Linked DNA regions of Drosophila melanogaster. The protein of the gene in region 2 purifies or fractionates together with the protein of the main gene of each other region. This does not show direct contact. Each region holds a gene or a part of one and is shown on either strand. Other genes may lie near its edges.

Region 1 (3,277 bases), on a different chromosome or scaffold from region 2:
CGTTGATACCTACTTTTGCTCATGTGAGGCCTGACTATGCTTATTTCGTTTATTTTAAAATCACATTCCTAGTTTATGTACCATTTGTTGAATTGCCAAAGGAATTAATGCCTTGTATTCTCTCCCTCGCTTCGAACTAAAATTTTGCTTAATTAACAGCAGTATTGATTATTAAATTAAACAAAAACGATAGGGTGTATCTTCAGAACAGTAAGGAGATTTCAATAGCTCTCTGATTTAGTTGGACCAGGATAAAAGCTGCTTCATGTCTGGATCATCTGTAACGCAAGTTAATCGTTAATTACCAAACGTAGATCCACATGCAGTGACTGAACTCACCATCATCCTCCACGGCAGTCGTGGTTGTCGCCTTTTTCTTTTCTTTGGCCTTCTCGGGCAAATCTTCTGTGGGTGCTTCTGGCAATGTGGGCGTCGGCTCGGGTATGCCAATGATTTCCTTATCAAAGTTCTCCTGCTCCAGCTCGTCGAGTTCCCGCTCGAGATCCTCATCATCCAGATCGGCGCCGAATGCCACTGGGTTCGAAATGGCATCGGAAATCTCGCGGGCCACGTCCTGCTGCTCGGCAATGTCATCCATCATGTCGTGCACCTTGTCCACGTCCCTGCATAAAAGTGAAAGTTAGTTCCTGGTTGATACAATGGCACAAATCCATGACTCACATATTCTGATGGGCTCTCTTGAGGGCATCCGCGGCATTCTTCATCGTGGTCAAGACGGCAGTGTTTGTGTTGGCGCTCTCCAGAGCCTCGCGCTGCATTTCGATTGTGGACAGGGTGCCATCGATCTGCTGGAGTTGCTTCTCCAGCCGCTTCTTTTTCTTGAGTGCTTGCAGGGCCACTGAAAATGTGAGAAGTGGAGGAATTAGAAGGTTTCGAGGACTGGCTTATGTATATATCCGAAATATGATTTGGCCAATTCGCAATGCGTGCTTTGAAATTACTCTACTGCATGGCTTGAGTTTGTTTTGGGTATTAAAAGTAATGTTTATATTACGTTCTGAGCGATTTGCGGACACGTCCAGGCATCGAATGGTATGCGGGTGAAAAGGCAAAGAGATACATATTGTTTATTGAGTTTTCTATTTGCTGGCAGTATGGGATACTGATTAACTGGGAGCAGGCCTCGCGGCCGCAACAAAAACAAAGCAATGAGTCATTTCCCCTTGGCCCATTTGAGTGACCAACTAGGAAGCCAAGGACCTCGGCGCACTCCTCTCATACCTCTTTTGTTTTTAGACGCATTCTTGCGGGCTATATTCAGTTCGTCCTCGATCTTGGCCTCCAGGAACTCCTGCTTTTTGATAAGCATGTTCTCCGTCTCGCGCAGCTTCTGTATCGCCTCGCCGGTGGTGGGGGCCACTTCCTTCTTGCCGCCGAACATCTTCCCGAAGAAACTCATCCTGGCTGATCTGTTTTTTCACCCGAATTTAGCGAACAAGTGAGTTTTTTTCTGCTATTGCGTTTCTTGGTTGTCTGGGAGCTGTTGTTCGTATGCGTCACCCGATACCGATTGCCGTCCCCTATCGTTATCGCCTTTGTGTATGCGCTTGGCGGAGTGGCATATTTCTCCCTTACGCAGCTGGCCACTCTGGTTAGCAAACGCCGAAAAATAAATAAATATATTCGGTGCATTTTCACATTTTGCACTGCTGCCAATAGATACCCGAATTTCTGGATTGAAAAGTCCTATTTGAGTTACGATTGACAAGGAACAAGGGTTCAACTGAAAATGGCCAACCGCACGGTGAAGGAGGCCAAAAACGTGCACGGCACCAATCCGCAGTACCTCATCGAGAAGATCATCCGTTCGAGGATATACGACTCTAAGTACTGGAAGGAGCAATGCTTTGCTCTCACTGCGGAGCTTCTGGTGGACAAGGCAATGGAGCTGCGATTCGTCGGAGGCGTCTACGGCGGCAACATCAAGCCCACCCAGTTCCTCTGCCTCACACTCAAGATGCTGCAGATTCAGCCGGAAAAGGACATCGTAGTGGAGTTTATCAAGAACGAGGAGTTCAAGTACGTTCGAGCATTGGGAGCCTTCTATCTACGGCTCACAGGAGCTGCCCTGGACTGCTACAAGTACCTGGAGCCGTTGTACATAGACAATCGAAAGCTGCGCCGCCAGAATCGCGCCGGCCAGTTCGAGATTGTCTACATGGATGAGTACATTGACGAACTGCTGCGCAACGACCGTGTCTGCGACATTATACTGCCCCGCATCCAGAAGCGCTCCATTCTCGAGGAAAACAACGAAATCGAGCCCAAGGTGTCAGTGCTGGATGAGGACTTGGACGACGAACTGCCCAGCGACGAGGAGAAGGCAGACGAGACCAACCGGCCTAAGGAGAATTCGACAGCAGTGAGACGACCACGGAGAGTTCGCTCCAAGTCAAGGTCCCGCAGTCGGGAGCGCGAGCGAAGATCTGGGCAGGGCAACAGCGCCCGTTCCCGGGATTACTACGACGAACTGGAAGACTACGACCGCCAGCGAAATAGGGTGCGCAATCGGGACACCCACAACGAGGACTATGACCGTCGGCAAAACAATGGACGCCACGATCGCGAACGAGAGCGCCAAGATCGCGACAGTATCAGGGAGCGCGAGAGGGACGGCGACAGAGATCGCCGGGATAGGGAACGAGAGCGAGAACGTGACCGTGGCCGTCACGACCAGCGGGAACGGGACTCGCGAGGAGAGCGTGACCGACGACGCTACTAAAATTATAAATAAATTGAATTAATTAACCAGTAAAAAGTGTCAGAAAATTTAAACCACAAACTCTCAATTCGCCGCAAGTTGGCATCCCTAGCACTAAGAATCGAAAATCGAAATCAAAACAATAACACAGAAGAAGAAGAAGTCAATCAGCTGTTGCTGCTTGCATTTAGAAAGTTTCGAATAGAGTAACGTTAACTGCGGGAGAATCCAGCCAGCTGTACTTGTGAAAATAATACACGTACCAGGGATTTAAGCAACAATAAATCCACGTTAATCAGCAGTAAAGCAGCTGAAGCTTTAGTATCTGAAAACTCTCCGTCGCGTTTGGAAGACTTTCAGGGAACTGCGCAGCGTTCTGGTGAATGAATTGTAAATTCCATTATCTCCGGTAGACTGGTGTAAGCCAGACGCATCCACGAGTTCCGTTCTCGATAGCGAGCAAGTAGGAACGGAACGGAACGGCAGTATGCCTCGCTCTGATACGGAGGCTTTGGTGGCCGATGTGGAGACTGGCGAAGATTCGGCACCACGCAT
Region 2 (3,866 bases):
AAGTGAAATGCGCTGTAAACAAACATAAAAGTTTAATTGCTGGTTCTTGGCCAGTTTGGGATTGCGTGATGTGTAAATATTTCCATTTGTCTCACCCTTTATTACTTTTTAAGTAACTCGAGTCACAAAGGCAAAAAGTGCGCCAATTAATAATGGAAACGATTATATCTTTCGTTTTTTGTACACTTGTCGCCTCGCCTCAATTGCTGGCTATGTGGTGTTTTACTTGGATAACGATAACGAGTTCGATCTGGTACGATTTTGATCAGGAATGACACTCTTTCTCCCGCTAATAGAAAATTATTTGTTTACAATTCCTGTGCGCCAGTGTGGGTGTTTAATTCTAATTGAAATGTATTCCCAGTTTGAATTTAAATTTGAACTGAAACGGCGCCGGTCAGTTCAAAAAGAGTTCAAATCGCAATAAATTGATAAATGTAAAATGTATGTACATATCTAGTATGTAGTGGCAAAAAGAAAGGGGGTCTCCAAATATTCAGCAGGTACTTCCCCCCAAGCGGAAAGTCACCAAATCGACGCCCATTTTTCTAAAGGTCAGTGAGTTAGCTAGGCAGATATGCACTTAAGCATGAAGCGTGTTGCATTAATTAAATATGCCCGCCATGTCGTTAACTAACAGTCTCATGTAAATCTTGGCCATTCAACTACCTCAGCCGACGAAAAGCAGTTAAAAGCAGTTCGGCAAATGCGTCTCGGTGTTTAGGCCCGAAACGATCCCATCCCATGCCATTCCAATTCCATTCCATTCCAAATCCCCATCCCCATCCATATCCAAAGCAAATCCAGCTAACTCTGTTCCTCGGATGCAAGTGGCCGAAGACGTCACAAAACTGGTCGAGCCCCTCGTCCGCCAAGTGGTTCTTTCGGACTTTGGTCCGGTTGGGTGGGTATCAAATCACATCACATCAGATCCGAACGGTTTTTCAAACATTACAAGACAATCTTCACACGTGCTGGCTGCGTGCTGTCGAAACTGAAAATACGCAATACCAATAAAAAGAATTTTGGATTCGATTCCGGCATTACACAAGATCAAGCACCCCTCCTCCGTCCTCCCTCTATCCATCGTATGGGAATTGGAGAAAGCGTAGTAGTCAATTAATTTACTAATGAGAGTGGGCGTTGACATTGCTAAAACACTTGTTTATAAAAACAGCACAGAAAAGAACATTTTCCTTTTCACCAAGGAACCCAATATATATGTTTAAATTTTTTGCAATCCAAAAAAGCTTAAATGAAAATGAATTTCTTACTTTCAATAGTTTTTTCCAATATATAGTTGTCTAACAATAAATTGCTCCATTTCTTTCTGTGTATTAATATTTTCAATTATCGAATGTCTCAATTAGTTGCTGGCCTTAATTCTGGCTTTGCGAAGTCATCGCACTTCCGTCATTGCAATTCAATATTCACCATATATATGTAGTAAAACTTTCTTAATATTTCAAATTGCGGGCCTTGTTCGATAGCGTTGCCACTCTGGTTTTGCTGAGCTGCATAGGCATCGATAATATTTGTAAGCAAAGTATCGATTATTTTCAGATACTTTTGTCCATCTCTAATTTACCATACTTTTATTTAGGAAATATTTACAAGGAATAAATACAAAGATTTGCTTATTACCCGTGGATTATAAGTTAAAACCACGATGAGTGCAGCCACCGCCGCCGCCGCCGCTTCTGGGATCCAGAGCACAGCGGGCGCCATTCCCATGCGCAATGAGAAAGGTAAACAGCGAAGCTCGATCCTCACCAGAAATTGTTTATAAGCTGCATATCTCTTCAATAGGTGAATTGTCCATGCAAAAGGTGAAGGTGCAGCGATACATATCCGGTAAGCGACCCGACTACGCCCGTGCGGACTCCAGTTCGGAGGAGAGCGACGACGATGACTTCATTGACACCAGGAAGCGCCTTGAGCGCCACAAGGCGGAACGGCATAAGCTGGAGCTCTCCCGTCAAGGCGGCAGCGCGGAGGGCGAAGAGCGGGCGGCGGGTGAGGGCCAGGAGGAGGACGATGCCGAGGTGGACGATCCACGCCTCCGAAGATTGCGGCAGCGACCCGTAGACATGGAGGACATGGAACGTGAGCGGAGGGAACGCCACCGACACATCCACGAACCGGAAATCATGGAGAGTGACAGCGAAGACGAGGAGGAAGACGAGGGAGCACAGGGAGCGATTCAGCGGGGCACCAATAAGATCACACTGGCATCCGAATCCGACACGGATGCGGAGCTCAGCGACACAGAGCTGGAGAACCGGCGCACCAAGCTGAGATCCCGCATGCTGCAGCAGCAGCGCGAGGAGGAGGTTCTACAGAAAGAGGATGAGAAACAGTCGGAATCGTCCGAATCAGAAAGCTCCGAGTACGAGGAGGAGACCGAAAGCGAGGAGGACAACGAACCCCGCCTGAAGCCGCTCTTCGTCCGAAAGAGAGATCGTGCCACCATCCAGGAGAAGGAGCGAGAGGCTCAGAAGCAGAAGCAGCTGGAGGCGGAGGCCAAGCGGGCAGCCAAGGAGCGCAGAAGAGCCACCCTGCGAATGGTCGAGGAGAGCGTCAAGAAAGATCTGGAGAAGACCAAGCCGGAGACCAATGAGGCCTGCATCGAGGACGTGTGCACGGACGACGAAAACGACGAGGTGGAATACGAGGCCTGGAAGCTGCGTGAACTCAAGCGAATGAAGCGGGATCGCGAGGAACGTGATAAGTAAGTGAACATCAAACTGCTCTTAGAATTCCTTTTTAACAATTCTTTCCCTTTTCTTTCAGCGTCGAACGCGAGAAGCTGGACATTGATCGCATGCGCAACATGACCGAAGAGGAGCGACGCCAGGAGCTGCGCCAGAACCCCAAGGTGGTCACCAACAAGGCCACCAAGGGCAAGTACAAGTTCCTGCAGAAGTACTATCATCGTGGTGCCTTCTACCTGGATGAGGAGAACGACGTCCTCAAGCGCGACTTCGCCCAGGCCACGCTGGAGGATCACTTCGATAAGACCATTCTGCCCAAGGTGATGCAGGTGAAGAACTTCGGCCGCTGCGGCCGCACCAAGTACACTCATTTAGTGGACCAGGACACCACCAAGTTCGACTCGCCCTGGTACGCCGAGTCATCCAGCAACATCAAGTTCCACAACGAACACGCCGGCGGCATGAGGCAGCAGTTTGACAAGCCCACCGGCTCGAAGCGAAAAAAGATGGAGTAGTGTTAGACGTATGTAATTGATGTATTTGACAGGCATTAGGAAAGTAACAAGTAAATATTGTGCGGCCACAGTTATGATGGAACCAAAACTTCATATACAAACAATTATATATAATACAAATATCATAAGTTTAAGGTATGAACGAGATTTCGTCTGGGACTTCGATGTGTGATGTACAATTTTGGAATAATGGCTAACGAATGATAACAAAAAGCGGAGAACACACAAAAAAAAAAACTATAACGTTTAAAGTTTGAGCGTGTGCTCCTGTAGCATTTCAATGTTGTGTTGAACGAGCGCCTGCATAACAGCCTCGGTTTTGATGAAGTGCACCTTTTCATAGTTGTTCAGACGTCGCTTAGATTTCGTATCCTTGCTGGTGGTGACCACGTACAGATCCACGCTGATGGCCAGCGAAGGCGGTTGGGCATGAACCTTGCCGCCGGCGCTGTGAATGATGACTGTGGGAGATTACCGATTAGCCACTAGTTGGAATAAGATTTCTAGTTAGGCTTGCCTTTCATTTCGTTGGCCTTTGGCACTATGTCTTTGCCGAGCATAAAGTGCAAGCCATACAGCAAGCGAGGGTGTTCCAGTACGGAGGAGGGTTTGAACTTGTAGGTCTCCTCGAACGTTG

The links. The genes of interacting proteins can lie anywhere in the genome.
Region 1: the proteins of Mfap1 (region 2) and Prp38 purify together in Drosophila melanogaster (affinity purification with mass spectrometry; 2 studies listed by BioGRID, with this or other methods). This does not show direct contact.

The regions. Positions count from the first base shown.
Region 1 is NT_033778.4:9,142,378-9,145,654, forward strand, and holds Prp38 (pre-mRNA processing factor 38), read left to right. Parts: upstream 1-1,578; 5' UTR 1,579-1,750; coding exon 1,751-2,743; 3' UTR 2,744-2,774; downstream 2,775-3,277. Other genes in the region: shrb (shrub), read right to left, coding at 238-278, 340-623, 682-859, 1,243-1,420; CG30344 (uncharacterized protein), read left to right, coding at 3,210-3,277. UniProt on the Drosophila melanogaster protein: Required for pre-mRNA splicing.
Region 2 is NT_037436.4:1,939,507-1,943,372, forward strand, and holds Mfap1 (Microfibril-associated protein 1), read left to right. Parts: upstream 1-1,561; 5' UTR 1,562-1,669; coding exon 1,670-1,748; intron 1,749-1,809; coding exon 1,810-2,731; intron 2,732-2,793; coding exon 2,794-3,229; 3' UTR 3,230-3,366; downstream 3,367-3,866. Other genes in the region: mu2 (mutator 2), read right to left, coding at 3,476-3,690, 3,747-3,866. UniProt on the Drosophila melanogaster protein: Required for pre-mRNA splicing.